4 linked regions of the Nothobranchius furzeri genome follow. The protein of the gene in region 1 interacts with the protein of each later gene in a pairwise test. Links are inferred from orthologs where the notes say so. Each region holds a gene or a part of one and is shown on either strand. Other genes may lie near its edges.

What was found.
Region 2: the proteins of psme3 (region 1) and eaf2 interact in binary tests that used the Homo sapiens proteins (3 or more experiments, as listed by UniProt). The two-hybrid records come from large-scale screens. The link is inferred for Nothobranchius furzeri from reciprocal best matches to the Homo sapiens genes PSME3 and EAF2.
Region 3: the proteins of psme3 (region 1) and wdr25 interact in binary tests that used the Homo sapiens proteins (3 or more experiments, as listed by UniProt). The two-hybrid records come from large-scale screens. The link is inferred for Nothobranchius furzeri from reciprocal best matches to the Homo sapiens genes PSME3 and WDR25.
Region 4: the proteins of psme3 (region 1) and eaf1 interact in binary tests that used the Homo sapiens proteins (3 or more experiments, as listed by UniProt). The two-hybrid records come from large-scale screens. The link is inferred for Nothobranchius furzeri from reciprocal best matches to the Homo sapiens genes PSME3 and EAF1.

Annotation. Positions count from the first base shown.
Region 1 is NC_091756.1:48,474,167-48,482,093, reverse strand, and holds the start of psme3 (proteasome activator complex subunit 3), read left to right. Parts: upstream 1-3,459; 5' UTR 3,460-3,589; coding exon 3,590-3,631; intron 3,632-5,451; coding exon 5,452-5,484; intron 5,485-5,587; coding exon 5,588-5,650; intron 5,651-6,171; coding exon 6,172-6,276; intron 6,277-6,357; coding exon 6,358-6,406; intron 6,407-6,487; coding exon 6,488-6,606; intron 6,607-7,326; coding exon 7,327-7,463; intron 7,464-7,568; coding exon 7,569-7,623; intron 7,624-7,927. Other genes in the region: nbr1a (NBR1 autophagy cargo receptor a), read right to left, coding at 162-461, 706-825, 938-1,161, 1,632-1,709, 1,866-2,048, 2,221-2,243, 2,324-2,342, 2,831-2,893 and 1 more. UniProt on the Homo sapiens protein: Subunit of the 11S REG-gamma (also called PA28-gamma) proteasome regulator, a doughnut-shaped homoheptamer which associates with the proteasome. 11S REG-gamma activates the trypsin-like catalytic subunit of the proteasome but inhibits the chymotrypsin-like and postglutamyl-preferring (PGPH) subunits.
Region 2 is NC_091754.1:31,266,958-31,274,963, reverse strand, and holds eaf2 (ELL-associated factor 2), read right to left. Parts: upstream 5,228-8,006; 5' UTR 5,145-5,227; coding exon 5,042-5,144; intron 4,583-5,041; coding exon 4,488-4,582; intron 3,927-4,487; coding exon 3,790-3,926; intron 3,514-3,789; coding exon 3,344-3,513; intron 3,253-3,343; coding exon 3,031-3,252; intron 1,861-3,030; coding exon 1,817-1,860; 3' UTR 961-1,816; downstream 1-960. UniProt on the Homo sapiens protein: Acts as a transcriptional transactivator of TCEA1 elongation activity. Acts as a transcriptional transactivator of ELL and ELL2 elongation activities. Potent inducer of apoptosis in prostatic and non-prostatic cell lines.
Region 3 is NC_091758.1:28,451,081-28,458,310, reverse strand, and holds part of wdr25 (WD repeat-containing protein 25), read right to left. Parts: intron 3,074-7,230; coding exon 2,943-3,073; intron 1-2,942.
Region 4 is NC_091745.1:66,977,746-66,985,677, forward strand, and holds the start of eaf1 (ELL-associated factor 1), read right to left. Parts: upstream 4,507-7,932; 5' UTR 4,318-4,506; coding exon 4,215-4,317; intron 2,819-4,214; coding exon 2,724-2,818; intron 2,431-2,723; coding exon 2,294-2,430; intron 2,187-2,293; coding exon 2,014-2,186; intron 1,882-2,013; coding exon 1,660-1,881; intron 1,490-1,659; coding exon 1,440-1,489; 3' UTR 1-1,439. Other genes in the region: tRNA N(3)-methylcytidine methyltransferase METTL6, read left to right, coding at 5,163-5,459, 5,610-5,744, 5,997-6,167, 6,362-6,503, 6,646-6,800. UniProt on the Homo sapiens protein: Acts as a transcriptional transactivator of ELL and ELL2 elongation activities.

The sequences.
Region 1 (7,927 bases):
GTAGTTCCAAAATTTGCCACCACCCCAGAGCAGCCAGCGATACTCATACAAACTAGATTACAAAGATTCTGATTAGTTTTCTTGGGGAAAAAAAAACTTTGCATCCATGCTGGGTTAGAAGTACCCAGCACTGTCGGACGCCCTTCCAAGGTGGCGCTTACTCTGGACTGGAGGCCTGGGGGTCAGGGACCGGGGCTGAGATGGGACCTGGGACTGTGGAGGGCCCTGAGGCTGTTTCTGAGGCAGCAGCAGGTGACATGGCTGGGACCTGGATGGAGGCTGAGGCCATGTTTGTCAAGGTGGCTGTGCCTGAGGTAGAGGGTCCACTCCACTGCAGCCCCCTCTTCTCCAGTCTTAGCTTCTTCTTGATTTCCTTCACTTCTGCTCTCAGCTGCCTTCTTTCAGCTTTGAGGCGCTGTCGCTCGGCCTTGCGCACAGTCCTGTCTCCTCGCCTCGGGAACCTGGTTTGAAATGTCATCAGGAACACCTATTTGTTGACTATCAAAAGTTTATTTTTCAAAACAAAAACACAAAAAAAAAAACCACATCCCCACTCAGTAATCTAGCTGCTAGAATAAATTGCAATCCTGCCTTGACTTGATTTATAATCATGTTTTTCTTTATTAGTGAAGATGTGACAACCAAAAGGCAACAACTTTAAATTACAACAAGAAGTAGACAGATGATCCTCAGTTTAAAGTTTACCTAAACTCTCCTGACATTCCATGCTCAGGAATGGAGAGAGGTGTCTTGGTTCTTACGAGGCTGTGACTGGGGTCGTGGCTGTGTCTGCACATCTCACAGAGGATGCAGGAAGGACACACACTGCCAGGAAAAGACAGAATGTATGAAAACATGATGCATGCTAATAAAAATCTACCCCTTATAATACAAAATGCTACATCATGTTGTTTTCTTGGAAGTCTTTCATGCCTACCTGCATTTATAAGCCCCTTCAGAGGTCAGTTTGTTGCAGGTGCTGCAGTTTGGGGTGTAGCCAAGCGATCCATTCGAAGCAGAGGGGCCCAATCCGGGTTCCACAAGACCTCCGCAAGCACCGCCAACCTCATGGAGTCCATCTGAGGATTTGTGGGTACAGCACTGCCCGGAGAAGTCGTTGCACATCTTCTCCACTACCTCCTTTACAACTTCATCCTTAAACTACCATAACAAAAGACTTGTTAGCTTTAGCAGAAGCTAAACACATTAACTCACAGGAACTGTTTTATTTAAAGAGCAAGTCACCCCCAAATAAACATTTTTTGCTGATAAACTAAATAAACGAGTGTCTAATCGTGCTGCAGACACGTGTCGTCAATAATTTGGCACTTCAGCGCATCTTAGTTAAAATTTAAATGTTCTGCCTAAAACTGGCAGTGTTGTGCCGTTGTCAGGTAAAAACTCTGCACTGTATTCTAATTTAAATCTGCCACCGCTATTGGCTAAGAGGTATGCTATGATGTAAACTGGTACGTTATGATGTCACAATGCTGTCGTGAGCCTGTGTATTTGTTAGCAGCTCCGCCCTCTCGGTCTGCCAGGCAACAGCATTTGTTGCATTTTTCAAACATGAAGTGGGAGTGGAGTAAGACTCTGGTAGGGGTTGACTTGCTCTTTCAGTGTGCTCTAACCTTTTCCATGTACGACCTGAACCACATAGGAGGAGGCTCATCTTCGGGCCTGTTCCCTTTGTTGTCTTTTACCGCTACCTGTACATAAATACATCATACGTATGTCAATGAAACAACACGCCGAGACAGAAATTGCCAAGACGATTTGTCCTACTTAGAAGTAAAAATACTATTAAATAAAATTTAAAAATTGCACACAAAGCAACAAATAACTAAAATGTGTTGTTTCCTTACAGTTTCACGCTCTGGGGTGACTTGAGTGCCTTTTTCCACAGTTTTGACTCTTGATGGGTAAGGGGGAGCAGGGCGGAGGTCTCCTTTAAGCTCCTTCACTTCTGTCTTCAGAGGACCTCCACAGGCCTGTCCTTTCATCTTATACACGTTCATGTGTAACTGGTTCCCCTGCTTCTCTGCGCTCTGTGGAGATGCAATAACATCACATAAAAGTTATAAAAGGAAAAACACACAAGAGAGGAACGTGTTGTTTAGATTTGGCTACATCTCGATAAGCATGCTCCTTTGTCTTTTGAGTCACTAATGACAAATTAGTTGCATGGCAACCAACTAAATGACACTAGGGTCACCTTACCTTGATGGCTTCTTCATATTCATCTGAAAAGCAAACAAAAACAAATGAAAACCTACATATTCTGTAGGACATGCCAAAATAATCCCAAACTATGTTTTCTTACCTTGACTGTTTATGCAAATCTGAAGCAAGAAGATAAATAAAATCATGATTAATTAATTATGTCATCTTTTTAAATGCAAAACTTTCGCCACTGGCCCATTTTTGTCTTATCATTGCCGTTTCCATTTCTTACATTCAAAAATAAATTGCTTTATAAATGTCACAATCTTTTTTGGACAGCTATGGTCACAAGTTTCTTTACGAATTGAGACTGACAAAGCACAACTGATTAGGTAAACACTGCTGATTGATTTGAGTGAATAATTGGCATTCAAAGCTCTTCTGTCAGAATTAGTTTTCAAACTATTTTATAAACAAACTTAAACCCAATTAAAACACATTGTTTTAAGTTAAGAAACGAGTAATAGCAATCTAATAAGATATAAAAGAATTGTTAATTATTTGAAAATTAAAACACATTTTAAATAAATATTTGTAACAATTTATTTAAAAATAAAGTCTAATACTTCCTGACTAGTGGTCATACTGTATTTTAAAAGCATCTCACCTCTTCATTATCTTCATCAAAGTATTTGACTTGAAAGTAGTTGATCCCAAACGATGCTTTGATCTGAAATATAATGTCGAAGAGTTCGGGTCAGATTTACCTATATGGTATTAAATCGATCATTCATCAGACGGACTGTGACATCAATAATAGAAGGCCTTCACAGGAAAAAAAATACATCGAAAATAGAAATATATGTGTAAAAATAAACGTAGAAGCCCAAACTAAACGTATTATTTCCCGCAGCTCTTGGAAAAATCGGGTATTTCCGCATATCCCGTTGACAGTATCGATTGTCCTTCAGGTGCGCTGCTGCTCGCGCATCTAGGCCGTGTCTGGGCCTGCTTTTCACCAAACTGCGCCAGCTTTTAGCCAGCAGCCGCTTACCCAGGCTTCGACGGACTCCCACTCCAATTTGTCCAAATCCTGAGCCAAAAACCTCTTTACATTCCCGCGGAAGTTGACCTTGATAGTGACTGGGAGCCCCATGACAGCCTTCTACGCTTTTTTAACTGAAACCATTTGCGACGATAGCGGACAGTATGATCCCTGTTTAGCTCTAGACTGCCGTTTCTTGTTTACATCGTCAGCTGCGTCGAGAAAATAACAGTGGCGTCTCGCGCAGGCGCACTCGAGCATCTGTCGCGTGCTGTTGTCGTCATTTGTAAGCTGACGTGAGTGTGGCTGAAAAGCAAGGAGCCACACGTTTACTGCATATGCCGGTGGGACAATCTTTACTTACGTATTTGATCACGGAAGATGTCTTCACTCCTCAAGGTGGACAATGAAATCAAAACCAAGGTGAGACTAGCGCGAGCGAAAGCTCCAGTGAAGGCTTTACTATATGTTATTGTTGATTGGTAGCATGTTAGCCACATTTGTAGCATGATATGCGCCAGTTTGCTAACAATTAACGATTGCTAACGTGCTTGTTTCCCGCCTGCTACCATACGTCTGGGAAACATTTTAGGCAGGTGCTGGAAGAGATAGATGATACGTTTTTCTGATGGACGATGTGAGGTTCCATTTTAATTTTCTCACTAGAAACCAAATATTGCACCGCTAGACCCACATGCGCCGAAGGCCTTAGCTACCACTGGGCTAACTCAACGTTTAACAGACCAATCGAAGTTCTTGTTAAACCTTGATAAAATCTAAACATCAGAATTCATTGGATACTTTGCTTCGAATTGCACGTAACTCGCTTGTTTTAAGTCCAGGTTGGAAACGAGTATTCTTGTCTAATCTTATCTTATATATCTTATTTTATATACAATTTTTAAAAATGTTTATTTTTTTCTGTTAGACACCTGTACTCCAAGTTCTAACAAACCAAGAGTAGACTTTTCTTTATATGTAAAATAAACTGCTTTTCCATATATATATATATATATATATTTACAGCGCCTTGTCTGGTTGTAATGCCATGTTGAATGCGCTTTATAAATAAAATGGTATGGTATGGTATGGTATGGTATATATATATATGTGTGTATGTATGTATATATATGTATATACAATATATATATATATATATATATATATATATATATATATATATATAGTGATACATTTAATTTAGCTTTTTTCATTTAAAGTGTCATATGATTTAGTCTACTTGTCAATTCTGCCACCTGCTGACATCAATCTGTACTTTCATTCTTAAAATGTCATCTATGTCTAATGTTTCCCACCTCAATTAGTAATTGTAATGTTAAATGTGATTTCAGTATTGGCCACAATCACCCACTGCCCAATAATCCAGCTACCCTAATACACAACAATACACAACATAGGTCATTTTGGTAACATATTGTGACGTTGACACTGAGTTCTTTTATCTTTCCACTGTCAGTGTCTGCTACACCCTCCGTCTGTCACTTTCGAGTTTTATCAGCTCTGCTTTAGCAGTTCAAATGTTAAAAAAAAACTATTTCACATCAGTTTCGTGGGCTCTGTATTTGATTAAAAAAATGGAATGACTTCTGCATCATTTACTGCATTGACGAAACCAAAACACAATCTTAATATCTTCTGAAATGTAATTTTTTACTCGGTTAATCAAAAAAGGAACATTTTTTTATGCAACAGAATATAAATGGCGATTTCCTCGTGTGTGTGTGTGTGTGTGTGTGTGTGTGTGTGTGTGTGTGTGTGTGTGTGTGTGTGTGTGTGTGTCATTTGAAAATGTGAGACAAACCTTTATCGTGTAACACCACAACAACCTCTGTCAGTGTGCCCCAGAGCAGCTGTGGCTACATAGTAGCTCATTACCGTCAGTGTTTGAATGGATGAATGATACACTGTAGTGTAAAGCGCTTTGGAGTCCTTACTATGAAAGGCACTATACAAGTGCGGGTCATTTATCATTTACAACAGAGTTCTCACATGTCAGTGGTTGAGAAAGTTCAGAACTTTAAAAGGGCCCGTGAGAGCTGCAATATGTTTTAAAAGGTTTTATTAATTGGTCCTTAATAGCTAAACATAGTGCTCAACTAATACATTCTATTCTATTTGATCGTTTAATCTCACACATAACTTGTGAGTTTTAATTTAACCAACTGTCAAATGTTTGTTTTTTAACTGTACGTTTTTTCAGTTTGTCATTTTTGTGTTTGCAGGTTGATGCTTTCAGGGAGCGAATCTCAGCAGAAGTAAGTGGGAAAACTTGTTTATTTGTGGGGAGAGTTTGACCGACTCATCTTGAGGGGTTGGTTGTAGAACATCTGCAAAAAAATGTACATTTGTTTTTTCCAGGCGGAGGATCTAGTAGCAAATTTTTTTCCAAAGAAGTTGCTGGAACTTGATCACTTTCTCAAGGTAAACTGGTAGTTTTTACTTGTTAAAGAGCAAGTCACCCCGACCAGATTCTTACTCAACTCCCACTTTCTGTTTGGAAAATGCAAAAAATGCTGTTGCCTAGCAGACCGAGAGGGCGGAGCCACTAACAAATACACACACTCACGACATTGTGACATCATAATGTACCATCTAACATCATAGTGTACCTCTTAGCCAATAGCGATGGCAGATTTAAATTCAAATTCAGTGCTGAGTTTTTACCTGACGATGGTGCATCACTGACAGTTTTAGGCTGAATATTAAAATTTTAACCAAGATGAACTAAAATGCCGAATTATTGACTACACGTGTCTACAGCACGATCAGACACTCATTTAAGTAGTTTATCAGAAAAAAATATGTTAATTTGGAGTGACTTGCTCTTTAACAAACATTTCATTTCATGAGTTGATTTTGTAACAAAACTGCCAAAAGGCTGCACATTATGTTCCAGACACTGAATTCTATAATGGAAAACAAATCTGGTCTTTACCTTTCAGGATCCCTGCATAAACATCACCGAGCTGAAGGAGATCCACTCAGAGATTAACCTGACGGTGCCAGACCCCATCTTGCTTTCAAACCTTAATGACGGATTGGAAGGGGTGAGCTTTACTTTCCACACTAGTTACAGATAAAAAAAATAAATAAGCTGAACATCTAATCTTGCTGGATTTGTTTCACAGCAAAATGCCAAAAAGAGAAAGCTTGAGGATGGAAGTCGTGAAGACATTGGTCAGTACTGTGTGAATGGTCAGATGCTCATCTTTCTGGATGTTATGTCTGAGGCCTAACAGTTATTTAATTATCTTCCAGTGACGGGCACAAAGGTCTTCGTCATGCCTGGTGGGATGATGAAGTGCAACACAAACCTTGTGGAGCTTATTGAAAAGGTCAAGCCAGAGATCAGGACACTCATAGAGAAATGTAACACAGTAAGTCATCCGTGTCTGTCTCTTTCAATGTGTGTCCTTAAATGTCAACCTTACTGGAAAAACATTTTTTAATGATAATTCTTATTATAATTGGTCACTCTGAGATTTTTATGCAGGCGAAACATGAAAATGGTCTCCTACACCTATCTCCTGCATTAGCTTCTGATAGAAAATAGACGGTGAAACTCTAGGATTAGAAAATCCTGACAGATCTACGTCACCCTGTCACTTAACATTCATGGACTCACGACGGGGAAGGCTGTTGTTTTAGAGTCCAGGAAAGGGCAGAGAATGGCTTCGCTAGTAGAAGCTAACTGTTAGCATTAGTAACTCCACCACATTCCAGAACTCCTCCAGGCTTGTGTTATTTGTGGAGATGAAACATCAGTGTTGCTAAACAGAGTCACTGGTAGAATCGCATTGCTGTTAGCCAAAGAGATACGAGATGTCCAAGTATTTGGAAAAAAGACTCCAAATCCTGCTGTGTTCAGCTCCGCTTTGATCTGGCTCACTTCTAGATCCTGAAACAGGCACACTGGAGCTTTTTTTTCTTCAGAGCACAATTTACAAGGCATTCCTGCCTACTAGAGACCACCGCAGATGTATTAAAATATGAGTTAAGTTGATCATTTGTATATGTGTTGGTTTTACATCCTGACTAGCCACACCTCACGTATCACTGATGCTTTGTCACTCAAATTGTTTCTTTTTTCCCCGCAGGTTAAAATGTGGGTTCAGCTCCTCATCCCCAGGATAGAGGATGGCAACAACTTTGGCGTTTCAATCCAGGAGGAGACGGTAGCTGAACTCAGAACAGTCGAAGGAGAGGCTGCGTCTTACCTCGATCAGATTTCAAGGTCTGCAGAGGCTCCAAACATATGGATTTATTTCTAAACAAAGCAAAATGGTGTTGTGTATTTTTACAGTGTCCAAACGTTGTTTGATTCCTCTTTTAATCCTAGATACTACATCACAAGGGCAAAGCTGGTTTCTAAAATAGCCAAATATCCACATGTGGTAAGTAGTTATCTTAGAATGGATTCAGTTTTATTCCAAGTATTGGAAATAGAATTAATGCTAGAATGTTTAAATGTCCTAAACATTTCTCACATCATTTACGTGATTTTGGGTCCATGTCTGACTGTCGTTGAAGGCTTGATGTGATTTAAGCATTTTTTAGTCAAACTGCTGCGCCTTTCCTAACAAAGTGGTTCAAATTAGTTATGTGCCTTTGGACCACCTATAAGGTAGTTAATGTATTAAATATGTTTACCTCAGTGGTGTTGTGTGTTGCTGAAGTAAGTGCAACTCATAAAGGTTA
Region 2 (8,006 bases), on another chromosome or scaffold:
TCAACATCTGCTCCTCCCTAACGGTGCCTGTGCAGTCTGCCCACTTTTAAATATGATAGGGGGAGCGCCACCTATGTTTGTGTGAATATCTGCTGTGGCTGATTCCCAAAGAGCCGAGCCGTTTCGAATACACCACCTTCTCCTAGGAGTTGGCAGAAAAAGAAACCATATTACACGTCTGCTGAACTGACTCACAAAGACTAAAATATCATGCATTCTAGTGAGTCTGATTGTTGCCAGAATCCGTCCCTCAGGCCAGGTGGACAGGAACAGTGTGTGCGAGGTCATGTTTATTTTTTTATAGTTACAAAGGATTATTCCTACAGAGAAAAAGGGACTGATTAAGACGCCAAAATATTAGTCCTTGATTGATGCAACGTTGATTTGAATTTTGGAAGTGACTTTGTTCTTTATCCAGTAAGACCTGCAGCTCACCCATCGATATACATTATATATATATATATATATTATATATATATATATATATAGATATATATATAGATATATATATAAAGAGAGAGCTCACCCAGTCTGCCTTCAGTTTGTCCAGCATGATCAGATGATGAGGGCTAATTACTCCAGGCTGCAGCATGTTTATGTCAGCGTCGAGTGCTTGGCGATGCAAATAGTGAGATAAATGAGCAACTTGTATTTGTGCTACACAACATGAGTTGCATCAGAACATTTATGACACAAACGGGTAGGTTCAAGAAACAATTAAAATCTTTAATATTTGACAAAAATCTTCTCAAATATTTAACAAATAAGTGTTCATTTTCTTAAGACCAACAGGTGTTTTAATTAAGGCTTTTTGGACCCCCGTCTCTGGGTTTATACAGTCGGTGTCAGAGCACTGCTGGGACAGAAACCGCAGCTTCCCGTTTGATGAGACAGGTCAGAGGACAAAAGACACTTATGGAAAAGACACCAAGAGAGGAAGGCCTGCAGTTGACTTCCTGAGACAAACTAAAGAGGCATTTCCAGTTCTTTAAGACTCACTCTGATGCAGTAAGAACACATCTGGCTTCCAGTTGCTTCCATATGGAGCTAAACACAGAACCAGTTAGTTACTGGCCAAATGTGTGTAGAAGGATACATAATTAAGTTCAAGTATAACAGGTTTAAAGCTACAAAGCAAGACCCTATTAGAGTCCATGAGTGCAGGTTCGCAGAATAAAAGCTGTCTCTCCCGCTACAGTCGACTGCTTTTATTAATCATTTCACCATCTTGCTTTGGCTTTCTGATGAACATTTAGTACTGTAGCAAACACCATATTTGATTTTTAAGACGATGTTCTCTGATATGTGGCAAGTAGACTTAAGTTCAAAATATTTTACCGACTCTCACAAAAAAAAAATGAAGTATTGTTTGGAAATGGTAAAGACCAAGAGATAAATTAATAAATATGCATTCTTCACAAGTCAAGTTTGATGGTTTAAAGGGATATTTTGTGAAATTATATATATTTTTTTAATTTCTGCTGCTTAGTGCTACAAAATAAAACAAAAAAGGCTAGCAGAAACTTCAAAATGAAAGCTCAATAATGTAAACGTGAAAAGCAGAAGCATAAGAGTCTAGACTCTAATGACAGCTGTCCTGCCTCTGGTGGGTTTAAAGCACCGCCATTAGAGGAGATGCATTTCTAACTCCAGAGGCAGGAATCACTACAGCATGAGCAGAGCCAGAAAACTACAGAGATTTGTTGGTGGAAAGACAAAACTCAGATGAGTGGATGAGTAAGACCAATCCTGGTGAACAGGTTTGTGACAAGCTCCTTCATCCAGTCTTCCTCACATTGGCCTTCATCCTGATTCTTCAGTCACTTTCACTTCCTGATTCACTCAGCTGGAGGTCATTCTCTGCAAGGAGATATTTGAAGAAGTGTTAAGACTGCACACTGTCATGGTGGTAGCTATAAATCCCTTGACACGTGACATCAAGAGTACGAGCCTCCCAGCCTCAGACTGGAGGGTCAGAAGAAGGTTCAACAGTGTTATCTGTCAGTTGTCAATAATTGGTTAACTAAAATCTGTCAGCTTGGTTAACACATGCAGCGCCGCGGGCTGCACAAACAGACGAAAGGACAGTAATGTCAAAGTTACAGGTTTCCAGCTGATAAAATATACAGAAGGCGTTGGTTAACTGCCATGAAGAGAGTATCCGAGTTGTCCACATTGTGGCAGAAAAGGTTTCATGACAGAATAAAAAAGTTAAGAATCTTCCCCACAAAGTCTGAAGACGAAGAAACAATCTGGGCCAGACACAGCTGTCAATAAATCACAGAGTACCAAACCAACCATAACCCTAACACACCGTAGTCCGTTATTAAAGTGTGTGTAATAAACCTCTGAGTTTAAGCACATTTAATTGTATAGATGTTAACAACTATGTTCATTTACAATCAAAACCACATATAAAATATAGAATTTATATATTACAATATACTCATGAGTCCTATTTTATCTTCCAACAGGAGAGCCCTAACCCCAACAAGGACATTTCCTGTTTGTGGTGAACAAATGACTTCAAAATAAAAGAAAAACAAAAATAACTATTTTTCTATTTTGACAGAAAATCCTGAAGAGTTGACTGATAATTAAATTAGTCAAGAGATGAAGGGTCATAACAGCTGTTGCGACAGCCCTAATGGCAGTTTAACCTCCAGCTATAATAACAGCAGCAGGGTTTTGTTGTGGTTCAGCCTCAGACTCTGAAATTCCAGCAGGTGTTGGGAAATTTCCCTGACGTGTGCAACCTTTCTGAAATCTTCACCTCCTGACAACAGTAAAACATCTACAGTTCTTTCTATAAGACACTCAACTGTAAAATGTATTTAGCATACATTAAAGTTTGAAAAAAGGCCGTGATTAAAACACAGGAGATACGGCAGATCATTGTAATCCCTTCACTTAGTAAATCCATGTGTGTCTGCAAGAATAATGCACAACCACAACAACTTAGTGTTTAAAAAAAGAACTGGTTCAGTCACATATGTGGGCAAAAGCTGCAGGGTCACCGAGGTTACTCACTGAGTGTGTTCATGAGTCCTCCCCCGCTCTCTTGGAGGCGACTGGTGGAGCTGGTGTTGATGATAGGCATGCTCTGATTGGCCGAGGGCGCTGCAGGAGTCTGCTCCTCTTCTGAATCGCTGCTGCTTGAACTGTCGTCACTGCTGGAGGACGAGCTGTTGGACTCTGATGAGCTGTCGCCACTGCTGAGCTGATCCATGACCTGCGCCTCTGCCATCAACTCTGCTCCAGACACACAGAAATAAGCATATTGATGGAGCACAACCACAACCAAGACGTACAGCCTTAATGAACACAAACAAAGCTGTGTCACCTCTCTCTATGTCATCCATCGGTGAAGGTGAAGAGGCTTTCTCTTTGGGGGGAGAGCTCTTGGAGCTGGATGAGGTTTTGCTCGTGCCGCTGCTGTTGCTCTTCATTTGCTGACTCAGGCGACTGGTTTGCTGCTCTAGACGAGAGTGGATTTTACTGCTGCCCTCAGCCCTGGAATGTCACATAAAAGAGGGGAAATATATATAAAGAACATTTCTAATTAAAAATTCTACTCATTACTTTGGGTTAAATACACTTAAAACAATTAAGTGTTTTGCCAATTCTGTGCAAATCTTTCTTGGTTAAGAATTTAGAAGGGATCAAATCTAATTTCAACAGCTAAAAGAAAAGCTTTTCTAAAAAAAAAAAATCAACACATTGGTTTGCATTAAATCACTAATCATAATAGTGAATGCTTTAAAAAATAAGGAAGCCTTTTTATCTCACCTGGTCTTCTTCACGGCTATGTTGCTATTGAGTTTTTCTAGTCTGTACTCTCCTGTATCGTGGTTCACAATGAGGATGCATTCTTTCATGTAAGGCCTCTTAGATCCACTGAAGACTGTAACAGGAGCACTTGAACCCTTAAAAAGGAAAACCAAAATATTAAATTATACGTGTCTGTTTTTATTAAAAATATTAAAGTTTAACTCTTGGAAGGAAAAGGTGCTAAAGATAGTTGTAATTTATTGTAAGTAGGGCTGGGCAATAAATCGAAAAGTTATCGTTATCAAAATTTCTGACTGTTAACGAGAATTTTTCCCATGTCAATAAATTTGCTAATTTAAAAAAATGAAAAAATGTGTGTGGGTTGGCGACGTTCATGTCCCTTTAAGCTGCACCACCTTGAGTCATGTAAAAATATGACTCAATACATGTGACAGCCCCATCTAGTGGACAACTTTTGTTTCTGTGCATACATGTAGTTATCGTCCATTTATCGTTATCGAGGTGAAATCCTTAATATATCGTGATTTTGATTTTAAGCCATATCGCCCAGCCCTTAATTGAGAGTGTAATAAAAACAATTTGAAATAAATAAAAATGTATTTTGAAGGAAAACGGTAAAATATATTAATCATTGTAATTGTTCTGTCTTGAATAAAGAGACAGAAATTCTAAGGTTTTTGTTTTATTTTACTAACCTCTAAATTTGGTAAAGTAATTTTGACTTGGTCTCCTTTGCCAACTTCAAGTTCTCCTTCACATGCTGTATCAATCGATGCTGGTTTGAAGTCATCTGTCACAGATAAAGGTAGAAAAAGGTCTCGAGTGAAACATGAAACACAGCGCTTTGTGATTTATATCTGTGAAAGGCGCTATATAAATAAACTTTTACTTACTTACTTACATTTTACTAGACAATACATGTTTTGGCGATACAGTTCATTCTTCCAGCCACAAGGTGGTGCTAAATTCCTACCTAACGCTGCTGCGCTAACACGTTAGCTGGCACTTTCACGGTTAATGGCAACAATGGCTTTTATTATTCACGTAAACTGACAGTTCCACAATAAAAGCCGACAATTTAGCAGAACACTGAAGGAGCACACTGAGAAATATAATCGAGCGCGGCGATAGAACTGTATGCCGGATGGCAAACGGTAATCTCAGCATGTTTAGCTTTAATGCTAACTAGCATGCGTCTGTTAGCTACAGTGAAAAGCCAGACGTCACCGACGAATAAAAAAACACTTACATCGCACTGTGTGGTAAGAGCTTTTGGGGTGTTTCTCGAACGTCTCTCCCAATTTCAGGACATGTTCCTGGTTGTCAAAGTTGGAGAAAGTTGTCCCATTCATTCTGACTAACACGAACCGTATACAAAAGTTTCCTCCGTGTTTTTGATGCCAAACGCAGGTAATGCTGGCAGAAGAAACGTTTAAGTCCCGCCCATTAGTAAAGTCTCCTAATTATTATTGGGTGACAAGATTTTTGCGCTTTTCTGGTTGGATGAAGACCTGTCAGTTAAGCACTTGTATTGATTGGGCAGCTACAGTGAAAAGGTGACAATTTTTAAAATGTGGACAATAACTTATGTAAATACCCACAGCTATTAAAACTTTTAATTCATAATTTCCTGAAAAAAAATTTCTGTTTTATTTATCATTTGAGGTAAATAAGAGACAACACATAGTTTTTGGTTTGTTTATTTTTGTTTATTTTGGAATGACGCTCATGTTTTATGTGTTTCCCAAAGTTAGGGCCATGACCTCACCTGAAGTAAAAAATAATAATCATTAAAAAAAAAACAAGTTTAAGGTTTGGAGATGTGCTCCAAAATGAATTATATAAAAAATGAATACACTATGTAATTTGACACAACAATAGCAATTTCAAGTGAAGCTTTTTTTGGTCCTTATTTCAGGTGTTTAGCTAGTTTTTTATCTATAGTTGTGTTGTTAGACAAGTTTTATCAGGGTTGCAAGTCTTTGCTCTTGTAATATTATGAGTGAGAAATAGCAAAAGTGGAAAAAGTGAACATTATATTGCAGAACAAGCACAATATTGTTCACTGAGGATATTGTGGATGAAAAAACATAAATGTAATTAAACAAAAAGCTGTATTTTAATAAACTGGTACAAAGTTCAGTGTTACATGAAATAAAATAAACATCAACTCACCTGAAAAGTTATTATAATCCAAAATCTGAATTAAAAAGCCATTAGAAGAAGAATTGACATGTATCAAATAATCATCACATCCTCCATTATGACCACGTCCTGCATGACTGAGACTACACTCCAGCTACTATTAGGCACCAAAGTTCTGACATTAATATTATTGATCAACAATGCAGGAAATAAAAAAATGCCATCTGCATCTGAAGAAGAGATTTGAACTTTCCCCTCAAAAAACTATGGGGAACTATTCCTTGTAAATTATAAAAATAAAGACCTTTGTTCTTTGGGCAAATGCCCTCAGTGCTGAGATCATATGATTTTGGGTTATAGCTGTTAGCTTTGAGGGGCCATCTTGAATGGGGTTGACTCTCATAATAATTGCTGATCCTGTTCTGTTGTAATATTAGTGTCCTTAACAAACATCGGCTCCTCTATCTGAACCAAATTACCAGCCTCACTGGGCAGAGCGCCTCAGACACAGCATGTGGACATCCTGCAGCTCTGATTGTAATGAGCTGCAGCAGAAACACTTACTGATCGCAGATTTGAGCCTCTCTGGCTCTGAGAAGCTCTGAGCTCCATGAACCTTGTGGCTGTTAAAATAATCTCTTTTCCTTTCTTTAAACTGCTAATGAATCCTAAGCCTTAAATCCTTCACTCTGCCTGAAATTTACTGAGACCATATGTTCTCTTGCCTTAGTTAGCAGGTCAGCATCTAACAAGTGGAGAGTCAGGCTTTAACACAAGTGTGTGATCACCAGCTGATCACAACAGTTGTCTCGTGTCATGGTCCACATGAGGAAATAGTGCATATGTCCACGTCCATGTCGACTCACTAATTGTCAGCTCTGCCTAAAGATGCAGAATGCAGCCCTCATATAATGGAAAACAGGATTGTTTGGGCAATCGTCATGGCTCATATTTATTGTTATCCGGTTACCGAGGAGGGACAGTCTTTTGTGATGGGAACCCTTTAAATTTGACGAGCTTTGAAAATGGACCAAGACAAATTATAAAAAGACCGGATTCCTGTTTCATCCTGAATCCCGTGTGAAAAGACAACAGCATGGGTCTGTTTCCATGGATGGAGGTAAACACTGACTGTCCTTTGGTGATATCAGTTACTTTAGGGGTTGCCCCTGGACTGCAGGAGGTGAGGTTTACGGTTTTTGAGCAACTAAATCCTCCAGTCACAGCAGAGGATTCCTATTGAATCTGAGGATAGCACCTGTCTGCTGGGAGAGGCGGAGCCTGAGCAGGCTCTACCAACCTGGATGAAATCAGTAATAATGGAAGCCATTTTCACAATTACTCTCTGGAATAGTCTCATTTTTGTTTATTTAACTTGGATAATTTAAATTCCCATCAAACCATCTGATGCAAATTTATTACATACTATTTGTCAGTGCGTTCCAGTTACTACAACATGTACCACGAATATCAACATGCACCAGCCAGATGTGTCCAGGGACAACAAACCCACCTGCCAGCACATTATTTTGTATTTAGACCTGCAGATACCTTATCTTGTTTGTTGAGTCCTTAACCAGAGTATGTTGGGAAGCAAAAATTTAATGTTTCTATGATATACAAAACCTAGATTCGCTTGTTCCCCTTATTTCCAAGTATTTAGTCCAGGGGTGTCAAATACACGGCCCGCGGGCCGGATCCGGCCCGCGAGATGGTTGTGTAAACTTTATTTTCATACTTTACAATGTAGAGTGAAAATAAACTTATCTTTGTGAGCAAGTTTTCTCTGTAATGAGTATAAATAAAACAAAGCTGCGCTCAAGGCTCACACAAGAACTTGAATCACATCCTGAAGTCGGCTGCCACTCAGGATGTGACTTCTGATGTTGATGTGCTGGTGAAAGCTAAAAGATGTAAAGTAAAATGAGTCAAATATATTTTAAGTGCTGCATGAAACTGATCTAGCCATGTGATCTGTAAGCTCTTTGAATCACTAAGGAATGTTTTTTTAATTGATTGATTTTTATTTTTATTTTTTCAAATTTTCAAGTACACTTCAGGTGTCGTAC
Region 3 (7,230 bases), on another chromosome or scaffold:
CCGAAGCCGGTAGAAAAGCAGCGATGCCGACCAAACTAGTCTTGGAATGCTTCCAGGTCATGACAGGTTATCACTGGCGTCTCCGAGACCCTGAAGGGGTCGTGAGGTTCAGCTTTTATTCTGAAGGAACCGTTGTGGTCAGTTGTAACTTGCAATAGATTTTATCCAGCTTGTCTGAGGTTCTTTATGGCTGAAGAGGAAATCCGGATGGCCTGTCCGAGACTTCTCTAGAATGCTTGAACTAGGGTTGTCACTGTGTGAAAATTTAACCTCACGGTTATTGTGACCAAAATTATCACGGTTTTCGGTATTATCGCGGTATTTTTTTAAACGTGTTACATTTTCAGACAACTAAATAAACCCTGTAAATCAGGAAAATATTGTCCTCAGATTGTGTCTAAATTTAGCCTAAAATGTGTTATTTTGTAATTATGTTGTTTATTTGTTTACATTTTTCCCCTTAAGTCTTTAAAATACCAACATTTGCCCATAACTTCTTATTTTTTGTTTGTTTGATGTCATCATTTTAAAAATATTTGATCAGATGATACTCAGTACTCAAGTTCCCTTCTAATTAGATACTTTTTTTTACCCTTACTTGAGTAACAAACCCTGTATCAGGAAAATATTGTCCTCGGTTTGTGCCCTTCCAGTGAGCTTTGCAGATTTGGGAAAATGTCACCAGGCAGTAATCATTGTTAAATTCATAATTATTCTCGGAGAGAGACCAACTCTTATCTGCCCCTGGGAGCCCCGTAATGCATAGCGTCATTTCAACATGGGGGTGTCCACGACACGGTTTATATGCAGGTAGCGGCGCTGCGGCTGCTTTATATAGCGACTCGTTGCTTTCTCCCTCAACCCAAATCCTTGGATCACGCATTTTAGCTAAAACGCTAACGTTAGCTTGCCTTGCGTTGACATGAGTTGTGGATGATGGTCACACAGATGTGTCATGAGATTTGAAGCGTTACTGCCTTTCACAGACACTTTTTCTGCTCGTGCTGCAAACAGGATAGCCGTCTTCTATCAACTGTCCCTCGGCATTCTTCAAATATCCAAAAAATGCCCATACTTCCCACTTTGTCTTCTTTGAGGGATTATAAATGTCCTGTGCGCTGCCATCTCCTCCTTTGGCCATTATTTCAGCTTTAGCTTCAAGAAAGTTTTGGTTGTAAACAACAAAGTGCGCATGTTCCGCCGGCAACTTCAGCAGATGATACGGTGGCTGGTAAGGGTCACCGCGCCTACACCGCAGCCACGGTAATCCACCGAGATAATACATTTTTTAAAAACAAGACGGTTATTATTATTGTCAACTTTTTTACCGGGGTTTACCGCTACACCGGTTACCGTGACAACCCTAGCTTGAACTGAAGAAAAGGTGGCGTGGGATAGTTTTTATAATTGCCATATTTTGGTTTACTGGTGGATCAGAATTTGACATGCCAAAAGAGGGTTTATACAAACACCACAGATAACCACGCCTAGCCAGAAATGAAGGTTCTGATTGGATCAGACAAAAGGAAATGTGTTGTGTGACTTTAGCATAATGTGTCTTTAGTGTCTAGTGCAAATGTCCAAGATTATAATAACTTGTAAAATACTACTGTTCACAGGATTATAATATCAAGTAACAACATTGTCATTTCACAGATTGATTGAACATTGGGCTCACATTATTTTTGGTAATTAACAAAGTTGTTGATTATGTATTTATCAAAATAGTTCTTCGTCCTCGCTTGGTAACAAAGGTGAAGCAGTTCAGATGAGCAGAGTGCATGAAAGACCTTGGCCACTATCTCATGTAGATTCGCCTGTCTATGTCTCTGCTCATGCAGACGCAGCAGATCATGACCTTTAGGTCATAAACAGGACATTCATGACGCTACACTTTTAATGTGCGTGCTTCACCATCGGGGACAGTTTTTAAGGTCATGCTAAAGACTTTTTTATTTGATCTGGCCTTTATCCCGTGGCCGTTAGTCTGCTTGTATTTTCTTTTATTAGTGCGATTTGTATGCCGTTTTAATTTATTTTTATTTATTTTTGTAATAAATTAATTTTTGTTTTAATCCTTGTCCTGTTATTACTAATACATGTCTGTACGGCGCTTTGGTGTCACCCCTGTGCCTGTAAGGCACTTTAGAAATAAAGCTTGAGCTGATTATATGATCCATGTTCGGTTAAGTGGTTTGGTCAAACTGAAGTTGGCCAGACGGGGAGGAGGGAGTTGGTTTTACCTTTTGACCCCACTTGCCACACGAACCAAGCTCCTCCTCTCTGTAGCGTTAGACTTGTGCTCCTGTCTGGGAGCTTTAACACAACACAAAAGCCTCCCGAGTCCATCTGCCTCCCCTCTAATTGTTGGGTCTCCGGGTGGGTGAGCTGATATTGGTGCAGACAATATGTTGGTGTACTTTTACCCAACAGCAAGACAGCTCAAGCCTAAAAATGACACCCAGCCTGAGAACTAGAGCTTTAACAGCCTGTTTTCTGAGAACTGCGCTTCGCTTCGTCTGCAGCTCATTTTGACGCCTACCGGCAGAAGCATTTCTGCTGTGTTAAATCTAAAACCCTGCTGGGAGCCGACTCGGTTGGCTGACGGGGAGAAATTACATGTGAGCCTTCAGATTCTGAGGAGGTGAGCAGGATTATCATATAAAACAGGCCATTAGGCTTAATAGCAACATTAGGCTGCAGCTTCACAGGAACGATCTACAGCAGGAGACTGGGATTAAATTAAAGTTTGTTTTTAAACGTTTCATGAAATAACTTGTTGTGTTCTTGTGCATGCAACAGCATCATGCAATAAAGTCCAGAGCAAATCATCTAACAGATAGAAGTAGCATGTAGCTAATAAAAGCAGAAGCAGGAAGCATGTTAGAACAAGAGGCAGTAAAATTGCATGTCTCATATCCAAGGAGGGTAATGGGTTTGACCTTGCAGCAGCGAGAGTCCCAGGCTTTGACCACTGAACTGTAACCGCCACACAGGAACACATCTGGGCTGTCCGGGTGCAGAACCACACACATCACCTTAAACTGGTTGTCCACTTTCACTGCCTGCTGTCCTGTAGACGAGAACAGAGCCAGGATCAACTTACTGATATTCTCCATGAAAGTGAGAAGTACACGCAAGTTTACAACTTTTTAAGCAAATTATTTTGTAATTTTAAAAGCCATTTAAAGATAGAAGCTATGTTTTTTTCATTTAGCAGAATTGGGTGGAAGGATCAATCAATTAAATCCAAATAAGAATCAGTCAATTCATGAACAAATTCCCTTATAATAAGTCACGTGCAATTGTGATGGGTTGAAATGTTCTAATTACTGTTTACTGTGTTTACCAGTATGTGTGATTTAATGAATAATAAGAAACGGGTTCATTATTGTTTACATTTGCATTGTTTGTCAGTACTTTTTCTGTTATGCATCTTAAGCTTCATTGCAATTTAGTCGTTGTAGTAACGAAGTGTGGCCACCGGAGGGAGTCTAGCGCTAGTGAGCCTTAGAAGAGAGCACGACCCTCCTGGCTCATTCAATACACGTTTGAGCAGAGGGAATAACGTGTCCGTGTTTCTTTTATCATTTACTCCCCTTTTCAGGGGATTTACATTTGGAGGCACCGCTGGGATCGTGGTTGCGAGGCTGGAATCCTACGGTGTAGGAGAACATCCCACATAAACCATCCCATTAACAACCCGGGTAGTGGAGGGTGGAGCTGCAAGCAAGGTGACGCCAAACCAAGAGGACTGTGCATTCTGAGGTGCTAAAAAAGAAAGCTACTAGGAAGCATCAGCTCTGCGGTAACTGGCTAAAACACTAATCTTCAGCGCACCTCAACACTTTGGAAAAAAAAAAAAAAAAACGAAAAATGGATTCAGAAGTGGAAAGTCTACAGTTTGAAATTAAAGGAGCCCTCTTCCAATTTACCAGCGACCAACTGATCAAAATATGTAATTATCTTGACATTTCTGGAACAAATAATGAAAACATCATAGGGAAAAGTCGTAATTTTATTGTTTCACTGATCAGCAAGCATATTGAAAGTGACAAACTGAGCCAACTAGAAGATGCAGGAATGTCAGTACTATTGGAATTATTGGACATGATAAAAACAGTGCAGGAAGATGAGGAACAGGAGAACTTGAGCAAAGAACTAGAACAACTAAAACTCATAGTTCAACAGAAAGAAGCTGAAATGCATATGTTGGCCAATAAAAAATTAAAGGACACTGAAACCGGATTGGTCCAGGCTGCTCCTGCCTATATAAACAGCGGCTCATGGAGGAAAGACTTCAAGATTTCAGGACAAATTGGTGACCCCGGCCAAAAGGACAGACTAACATTTTCCAGCTTGGCCCGCCAAATAGAGAATGGTCTCAGCAAAGGTTACCACGAGTCAGAGATAGTGGATGCTGTTATAAGGGCAATAGTTCCTGGTCTACAGCTGCGCAGCTACTTGGAAGGAAAGAGTGATCTGTCCCTTCCCACTCTTAGGAGAATCCTTCATTCACATTATCAAGAGAAAAGCGCAACTGAGTTATACAAACAACTTACCACAGAAGTGCAGAACAGCAGAGAAACACCACAGAACTTTGTTATTAGAGCAATGGATCTGCGACAAAGAATATTGTTTGCTTCCCAAGAGGCTGAATCTGGTCTTAAGTATGATCCGGCACTGGTACAAAGTATGTTTATGCACACAGTTCTCACTGGCCTTCAAAGTGACTGCATAAAGACTGAACTCCAACCACATTTGTTGAAACCAAACACCTCAGATGAGCTACTCCTTGAAGTTCTAAATATCGCCTGTGCTAATGATAAAGAAAGACAGGATAAGAAGAGAGCCACAACACAGAGATTTACTGCTGTGCATGCAGTCCAGTCCAGTGACACAGGTAGTAAGAGGAAACCTGTGGAAGATCAAAATGTTACTACACTCCCCACCGATTTTCTGTCAGACCTGAAAGAAATTAAAGCAGATATGCTTTTGCTAAAGGACCTCAAAACTGAGGTTGCACAGATCAGGGAATCCATCCACAACAAAGAAGAGAAAAATAATACACAACCTGCAGTGCGCCAAGGACCAGAGTATGGTTATCCCTATCACATGTCAAATACTCACCCACAGTTTACCACCTGGACCAGAGAGGGTGCAACGGTTCCTCATCATCAGAGAGGGCCTCTACAGGAATACCAAGGTCCAGCTGATCCAGGATTGATGAAAGGAACTGCCCAGTTTCAACAAAGATTTGCACCACAACAATACCCGGTGCCACGTGCCAGACCGAGGTGCTATACATGCCAGGAGCAAGGAGAAAACTTCTGCCAACATTGCTACAGGTGTGGAAGTAGTGAACATTTCCAAGCTGGCTGCAGAGGGAACAGAGGCATGCATGCTACTATAAGGGAGTATCCTTTAAACGAGGGAGGGTTGCCCCCGCGGGACAGGGAGTGACCATACACACCAAGAGGTCCCTAAAATGTGCCAGTTGTGGAGGAACGGAAGGAGAAAAAAGATTTGGACAATGTTCAGTGTGCAAAGTGATGCTCTACTGTTCCAAAGAATGCCAGGAGAGTCATTGGCCAGAACACAGAGAGACCTGTAAGCCACCCATAACAACCGTTAAAAAGACACAACTATGCAAAACAACGACAGGGAAAAAGAAAAGTAGTGTCTCAAAGAAAGACACTACAGTAGTCGACCTGGTGGGAAAGAAGTGTTTCATTAGCTGCTACCTACAACAAAAGAAAACAGAAGCGCTCTGGGATACTGGGTCGCAAGTTTGTGCAGTTGATGAAGCATGGAAAGCTGAGAACATTCCAGATGTTAAACTCAGGGACATAGCAGAAATTGTTAACCCAGGTGATCTACAAGTTGAGGCTGCCAACGGCACAGAGATGCCATACGTAGGATGGGTAGAAGTGTTGTTTAAACTAGCAGCTGGTCCGCAAGAGTTTTATGTCCCAGTGCTTGTTATGAAAGGCAGCCAACTTTCCCGCCCCATTATTGGTTTTAATGTTATTGAACACATTATTACTAATGGTCAGGCTGAAATGAACAACAATGAAGCAAAAGAGGGGTTTTTAAAAAGTGTAAAAATGGCTTTCCCAACTTTAAAAAGGGGGAATGAGAAGGCGTTCATTAAAGCGGTAAGGGTGGAACGAGCATGTGAGTATCTGGTTAAAACAGCATGTTCGAAAATGAGTGTGCCAAGCCATAGTACTCTCCAAGTAAAATGCAGAATCAACGTCAGACCATTCAAAGAGGACACTATGTTGGTGTTTGAACCTGATGGGAACCCACTATGGCCAGAGGGGCTCCAGTTTTGTGACACTCTGCTTAATGTACGAAAAGGTGTTCAGCCTAATATTGTTCTTAGTGTACAAAACCCCACAGATCGCGACATCACGTTAACAAAAAGAGTAGTTATCGACACTGCACAGCCAGTCATATCTGTGTATCCAGTCAACACAGGAAATGACTCGCAGCTACCCGTGTGCATAAATGATATCCAGACTCACAATAGTGAGGACCGGGAAGCTTCTACAGAACCGTGGGAGCCTCCTATTGATCTCAGTCACCTGACTGAGGCTCAAAGACAGATTGTACGTGATATGTTAAAGGAGGAGTCAGATTCTTTCTCTCGATCTGACAATGACATTGGGTGTATAGAGAAGCTTCAGTTAAAAATTGAGCTAAAAGATTCAGAACCAGTCGCCCGTACTTACATGTCAGTCCCTAAACCGTTATATGATGAAATGAAGGACTATTTGACTGATCTGATTGTGCATGGATGGATTGAGAAATCATACTCGTCCTATGCCTCGCCTGTCGTTTGTGTCAGGAAAAAGTGTGGTTCGATGCGTCTTTGCATTGACTACAGGGAACTGAATCGAAAAACACATCCTGATCGGCAGCCAATTCCAAGAGTTCAGGACCTTATGGATGGTCTTGGTGGAAACACCATGTTCTCTCTGCTTGACCAGGGAAAGGCATACCACCAGGGGTTTGTGGCAAAAGACAGTAAACATTTGACCGCTTTTGTCACCCCCTGGGGGTTATATGAATGGAATAGGATCCCATTTGGGCTAATGAATGCACCAGCGGCCTTCCAACGCTGCATGGAAGAGTGCCTTGAAGGGCTTCGTGACAAAATATGCGTCCCATATTTGGATGATACACTCGTGTTCAGTAAAACATTTGAAAGTCATGTCAGTGATG
Region 4 (7,932 bases), on another chromosome or scaffold:
CACCAAGTTCCAGTGGTCAGCATTTAGCAACAACTAGTTTTTTAATGTTTTTAACAAATTTAATTTTGTTTTAACCTCAAACGGTCAGTATTATTATTGTTATTGTTATTATTATGTTTACTTATATCATAAAATCTGCAGATTAAAGGAAAAGGCGCTGATGTCACTGGTGCGGTTAACAAAAAACAAAACAAAAAAAAAACAAACAAACGCAGAAACACAACCATTCAACACCATTACATATGAACTCCTGCATATCTTTTACATGAGATCAACTCTTTGGCTTATTTCTGAACTAATACATTCACCCTCATGTCTTCACTGAAACGCTGCAAGGCATTAAAATGTAATACGGAGTGGTTTCATTCAGAATCAGAAATGATGGAATATTTGTTAAAAAGGGAAAAAAAACTTGTCTGAAACTAACTACATTTGTTTTCTTTCTCATCAGAAACCCTGATTTGTCATCATTTCTTGTCTCCATGGTAACTGCTTGTTATCTGACCTCTGATGTGGTTAATTAAAAGAATTCAACAAAACATTTTAGCTTTTCTGAACCCGTAGTTTTGAATTCATCTCTAAAAAATTGTGCATTATTTTAGGGTTTATTTGTATTTTTTGATGTTTCAATCAAATAAGAACTATCTTCCTAAAATGTTTTTAGAAACCAAATTAAAGCTGAAATTAGAAGGTCACCAGAAAAAGTAAAAACACATTTGTGGTTCGGGGTCTTTTGCTGCCCCCTTGTGGCCGGAAAAATAACTGCAAGACATTTATTGTTTAATTATTCCATTTCAACAAAATTTTAACCAGCATGAGTTGAATTTTGACGTGTTGTTTCAGAACCTAAAGCAACGTCGGACATTCCCAAAGACTAATAAAAATATACATTATCAAATTAGTTATAAGGAAATGTTTTGGGAATGAATGAAATAATCCATCCACAATAATCGGCACCTTCTCTGTTAAGACTTGGGAGGAAAAAAGTGCATTTTTTAAAATTGTTACTTGTTGCAGAGTTTTGCTGATTTTTCTGTTTTTTTGCTGTTTTTTCATCCAACTAATAAAACACTAATACGCATGGAGAGAAGACTTCCACTACAGGGAAAAAGCTTTTTCATACTAGCCTCATCATAAAAAAGGAGAAAAATAGATCAATTATGCAGATAAAACTAGTGTTTTTTATAAGTACTTAAAATATGTCTGAACACTCTTTATAATCTTCTACATCCTAAAGTAAAACTCTGTTTTTTCCTATACAAAACAAAATGCACATCTAATAAAATGCTATCCTAAGGTTTCTGGGTGGCTATAATAAAATAAAATGTTAAAAAAATACAGTCAAACCAGAAACTTAAAGCTGAGGTCAAAAATCACAGCAAGTGAACGCAAGAACCAGGAAGCGAGGAGGAGGAGGAGTGTGGAGGAGGAGAGCGACTTCAGTCGTCATCACTATCGCTGCCCGACTCGCTGAGCTGAAGATCGCTTCCTGTGGAGGAAAAAGAAAAGTAATAATCTAAGTGAGTAAACTAACTCGTCTGGAATGTATCATCTGAGGAAATCCTGTAATAACACATAAAAATGTGAAGGCACTAACTGATAAATGCAGAGATTTAAAAACAGAAACAGGAGAATCAGCGTTTACGCAGAGCTACTCACGGAGTGTGTTCATGAGCTGGTTGTTGCCCTGCTGCCGGTCTCCTCCGCCGTTGGTGATGGGGGTGCAGCTGGGGGAGGTCTGGCTGAGCGGTTGCGGGGGGGCGTCGTGCTCACCATCGCTACTGCTGCTGTCGTCGCCGCTCCCCGAGCCGCTGGCTGAATCGGACGAGCTGCTGCCGCTGCTGCTCATCTGCTCGATCACCTCCACCTCCGCCCGCAGCTCTGCCAGCGGCAGCAGGTCAGAGACATTATTGGTTCTGGGTTCATTTCACACCAGTTACAATATCCAGCTGATATTTTAGCTAGAATCAGTTTGAGACACACCAGTTCCATCTTGTGACAGAACCTTCTCACCTCGTTTGATGTCATCCAGCTGAGGCTCTGGGGACGGGTTGTCCTTCGTGTGGGAGGGTGAGGTTTTGTTCCCGGCCCCTGGTTTGGTCGGGGCTCGGAACTGAGAGCTTGTCTGGGAGGAACGGACGGACTGCTGCTCGATTCGGGCCTGGATCTTACTGCTGCCCTCCGCCCTATAAAAAATAAACACGGCAGACTCACCAACTGTTGCTCCTTTCTGCTCCCCACTTTAGAATGAATGATTTATCAAGTGTGAAAAAGTAATATACAATTCTCCCACCTTGTTTTCTTGACCTGGATGCTGCTGCTGAGCTTCTCCAGGACAAATTCCCCCGTGTCGTGGTTAATGATGAGCACACAATCCTTCTGATACAACCGCTTGTTTCCTTTAAATACCGTCATTGGAGGCGTGGAGCCCTGGAAGAGTATGTAACTTTACTTGATCCTTTGATTTTTCTTAATAAAATCATACAAAGGGGCTTTTACTTGTTTATTTTATTGGTTCCTGATGTAACTAGATGAAACTGAAACTACATTTAAACATAATCAACTATGATTACTCAACCTAAGCTGCTATCTGACTTTGTTAGCAGAGGGAAAGCACTTGATTGACACTTAATAACATTAATAATGTTGAATAACCATAACTGTGAGCCAGCTGACACAAATGTGAGAATGGTGCTTTGTTGTTTACGTCTCTGCAACCTTACTGGAATATGAGGTAGTGTTATGGTAACTTCATCTCCTTTCCCAACTTGTAGCTCTCCCTCACAGCTCGTGTCGATCGATGCTGGTTTGAAGTCATCTAAGAATAAATAAATAAATTAGGCATGAATCAAGTCCTTTCACTGCTTAGAAAAACTTAAATAAATAGAAAAAGAAGTAAATTATATAATTATTAGAGATGTATGATATATCTGCATCAATATCGAGTATTGGCCGATGTTAGTACATTTTTAACATACCAGTCCGACAATTAAAACTGGGCCGATTTTAAGAACTGATATTTTTTCCATCTTATTTCCGTTTGTGTATGTTTCAGAGGGTAAGGGGCAGTTATGATGTGTAATTGTTGAGACATGTGACCGTGATGGTAATCATCTGGCGACGGTGGCACAGGAGTTAAGTGCTCGCCCTGTAATCGGAAGGTTGCAGGTTCGAGCCCCGCTCAGTCTGTTGCTGTCGTTGTGTCCTTGGGCAAGACCCATGTTATCTGCTGGTGGTGGTCGGAAGGACCGGTGGCGCCAGTGCTCAGCAGCCTCGCCTCTGTCAGTGCGCCCCAGAGCAGCTGTGGCTACATCGTAGCTCATCCCCACCAGTGTGTGAATGTGTGTGTGAATGGGTGAATGACTGGTTGTGTTGTAAAGCACCTTGGGGGGTTCCAGGACTCTAGACGGCGCTATATCAAATACAGGCCATTTACCATTTACCAGAAGCGTACGTGTGTGTGTGTGTGTGTGTGTGTGTGTGTGTGTGTGTATAACATAATGCAAATTCAACTTCATAGAAATAAAGCAAAACATTCCAAAATTCAACTTGCATAATTTCAGTCTATTCAAAATCTGCTGATTTCAGATGCATAAAACGGTATTGGCCAATATTGGTTATCGGCCATAACAGTGATACTAATCTCGGTACCGGCCCAAAAAATTCATATTGGTGCATCCCTTATTATTATTAATTATTTAGTTTCTAAAAATGAAAGAGATTCAAACTTAGCTAATCACCCTTATATGTTTTAAATTATAACTTTGCTTGACTCTGCTAATATGACATTAATTTACAAACCGGGAAATATTTAAATAATGTGCTGCTGGTATTTGGGTGAAATGTGCATTTATTAATTATTGGTCACACTGTCTACTTGGCTTAGGAAATGTTTAAATAAACAAAGCAAAATTAAGTAAAAGTTGAATGATGATCAGTTAATAATTGATAATAACCAAGGACTTAAAAAAAAAACATTAAACCCCACAATTTAACTTTCTATTTTTTACATAATAAACACATTTCTGTTCAGCAATTTCTTTCAGTTCGGTGTTTTGCAGTTCATACATGTAAATCAAATTTTCTCATTTATTGTGTACTTCTGTAACCGTAATGAATGTAATAGCTGTATCACTGTGAGCTAATTACTTCCAACCAACAGCTGACTTTACTAAAAGCTTTTAGAAACACAAAGTGGTCTCTTTCACACTCACATCTGATGGTGTGAAAAGATGATTTTGGCCTTTTCTCGAAGCTCTCTCCGAGCTTCAGAACATGTTCCTCTTTGTCCAGCAGTGGATTTGTGTTTCCGTTCATGACTTCGTCTGGTTGAAACCGGATTAAATTTTACATTTGTGTTACAACCGAAAAACAGAGCTATATCCAGCAACTACCGGAGATGATAATCTAAATAAAGATAAAGTTAGCTTGCAGATGCTAACCTTTAGCAAAACAACACTTACGTCACGCGACTGCAGCTTTTTCGGTGTTAAGTGAAAAACGGTTTACTCGTATATCAGTGTGCGGGTTTTCCGTTCTGAATTCTTGGAAAATAAATATGTTTACCTCATTGAACAATTATTCAGTTATTAGTATTTGACTTAAGTATGAATTTATTTTTACCGAACACAGATTAAATAATTTTAAAAAGTAATATTTTCCGTACGTTTTTGCCATGCTGTGATGACTAATGTTTTAATTAAACTATCAAAAGTTTTCAGTTTAGTTATTTTATTATCAGATAATTGGTTTAAACAACAAAGTTAAAGGGGAAACTCGCTTAAAATAGGAGGAGAAACTGTTGTTGTGAGGAAACATATCTCGGCGTAACACTGCCTTTGGTCCGAGCATCAAATACCACCGACGGAAAACCAGACTGGGTGTAAGTGATTTCAGAGCTGTTAAAAATATTTGTAACTTATTTAAACAATAAAATTGTACAGTCAAAATTTATATTATATTTTGTATAAATTTTGTGTTTTAAAGCGTTGACCACCGTGGTATTTTTTTTAATAACACCAACCGGTACCGGTGTCATCGATGCTGCACAAGATGGATGCCAAGTGTGGAAAAATATTACCTCCTTTTTCTTCCTATTGAAGCTTATATAAAGCTTTATTTTATAAACAAACTATCAGAGAGAACGGCAATCTAACACAACAATGGCGTTAATGACAAATGAAAAGTGCAAAGTTGAAGACATTGAAGAAGTGGAACCCGAAACAAAGGTGGAGTCACGGGGACGAGAAACAAAACTTTGCTCTGTCAGAGATTTAACTCCAGAGGAACGGGACAGACTGAGCAGTGAGCGGACGCTGGTATCTGATTTCAAACAAATTAAGCTGGAGAAAGAAGCGCAGAAAAATTGGGACTTGTTTTATAAAAGAAACACCACGAATTTCTTTAAAGACAGACACTGGACCACCAGAGAGTTTGAGGAGCTTAAAGCCTGTCGGGAGGTGAGCGGATAAGGGGTGTTTGATTAAACTTAGCATATGTAGTGTAGAATGAACTTAGTTTATGTAAAGAATATCAACGTTTCACAGTGATTTGAGGCCAAACGGACAACAAAGTGATGATTTTGGGTCACGTGGTCTGTCTCTTTGCAGTTCGAGTCCCAGAAACTGATTCTGCTGGAAGCTGGATGCGGGGTTGGGAACTGCATCTTCCCCCTTCTGGAGGATGACCTCAACATCTTTGTTTATGCCTGTGACTTTTCTCCTCGGGCAGTTGATTTTGTCAAAGTAAGGTGCTTAACTGTGTACTTGTGGAAATCCACCTTTTCTAGCACGTCTAGTTAATCTTAGTGCTCTAGAAGTTAAAAATAAAAATGAAAAAAAGCTTTGCTGCAGTGTAGCTGCCTTTGATGCCATTTGTGGTAAAACCCGGTTCAGCTGCCTTAACAGGAGATTTCAAGGGCTAAGAGTAACCAAATGGGAAAAAAACAGCATTTAAAGATGTAAACATTTGTTTTGTTATTTGTTTTTATTAATCAGGAAAACCCTCTTTACTGCACTGAGCGCTGTTGTGCTTTCCAGTGTGACTTAACAAGAGATGATCTGATGGAAAATGTCCCAGAAGGCAGCGTCGATGTTGTCACGCTCATCTTTGTCCTGTCGGCCATCCATCCCGACAAGATGAAGCTGGTTTTGGAGAACATCAGCAAGGTAGAGTTAAGAGCTGAGACCACCACGCACAATTCACTCAATTCAGGTGGAACTTAAAGGTGCAGTAAGTAAGAGTGACATCCTGTGGTCAAACATGGTTACTGCAGTCTATTTTTTTGAGTACAAATCACTTTTTATGCAAACCTGCACAAAACTGGCATTCAGCGATGTAACAATCTACATGTGGCTTTAAGGTGCTGAAGCCCGGTGGTGTTGTCTTGTTCAGGGACTATGGCATGTACGACCACGCCATGCTCCGGTTTAAATCTGGAAACAAGCTTGGGGAGAACTTCTACGTTCGCCAGGATGGAACAAGGTCCTACTTCTTCTCCAAAGGTCAGCAGAGTATTTCTGTTCAGTCAACTCAGTCTCAAGTGAAAGAGGGGACATGTTGCACATTTAAAATTATTGAATTGATTATATATGAATTTGTTTTTTTTTTCCTCCTCCTGGAATCTTGCTGTTTTCAACTTTTCAGAGTTTCTGGCTAAGCTGTTTCTGGAGGCGGGCTTTGACCTTGTGTCCAACGAGTACGTTCTGAGAGAGACGGTAAACAAGAAGGAAGGACTGTGTGTTCCGAGGGTTTTCCTTCAGAGCAAATTCATCAGACCTGCACATCCACAGAGCTCCTGATGTCACTGTTAACTCACAAATCTCTAAGGGAAGACTGACATGTCAGGTTTGGACTGGATGGAAAAATGTACAAGTTCTGTATGATGGGAAGCCATCATAGGACCACAAGGGGTTTGGGGACATTTTAAAAGAAAGTGTTCACTTTTCTTACAAAATATTTATAAGCTGTGTAACATTTACTCTGTAAATAAATTCTGAGCTTATTCAGCTCTGATGTTGAGTTGAGGGGAAGCATTTATTTTTCAGGGGCACGTGGTGGACAGTGGGGGTTGTGGACATGGCAGGGCACGGGTGCCCTGTCTGTTGAGTAGATCCCAAACAGGTGCCTCCTGCCCCAGAAGATGTTTAAATTGTTTAAAACCAGTGTTGTGCATCATGAAGGAAGAGGAGAGCCAAATGTTCAAGGATAAAAGTCTGTTAAAACCAATTTCTCTGCCAAAAGTGGAAGTGGCACCACAGGTAAAAACAGACGTGTAAGGTTTTTAAAAGATTAAAAAAAGTGGATAAAATCACATTTCAGGAGCTCAAATTGCTGCTTGCAGATGTCAATATAAGCCTTAATCACATGTGGTTGGAGCGCAATGAGACCAGGGATCTTTCCTGAAATATCCATTTATGGTGGCTCCAGGAAAAGACAAGAGTGAACGCTCTTCTCATCTGCACATTCCTGACACTGGAGTCTAAGCGTGGTGGGCGTGTCTGCATGTTGTTCACTGTAACAGGTGTTTTGCAGTTCATACGGATGCTGATGCATGCATGTTTACAGCACTTCAGAAACCCTTTCCCCACACACTTTCAAAGTGAAATGCTATGGTGTTGGCAACAGGGAAATGGTTCTGAGGGTCTTTCCCTTTTATTATTTAGCTAAAAAACCCTGAAACTGTTTTATGTTCCATTGTTTAACATGCTGGTTGTGTTGAGTCAAGGTGCCAAGTCCAGCTCTGGTTTGTTGCCTTGAAAGAATGGGGGGTTTGCGCCCTCTTGTGGCCAAAACTAGAAAAAGCACTCTAGAAGGGAAGATGGGGAGTTGCTGCCCCCAAGTGGCTGAAAGCGGGTACTACACAGTTGTGCTTAGCTATTCATAACAGAATATTGTAGTCTCCTTATTTTAATGAAGCTTTAAAATAATGTG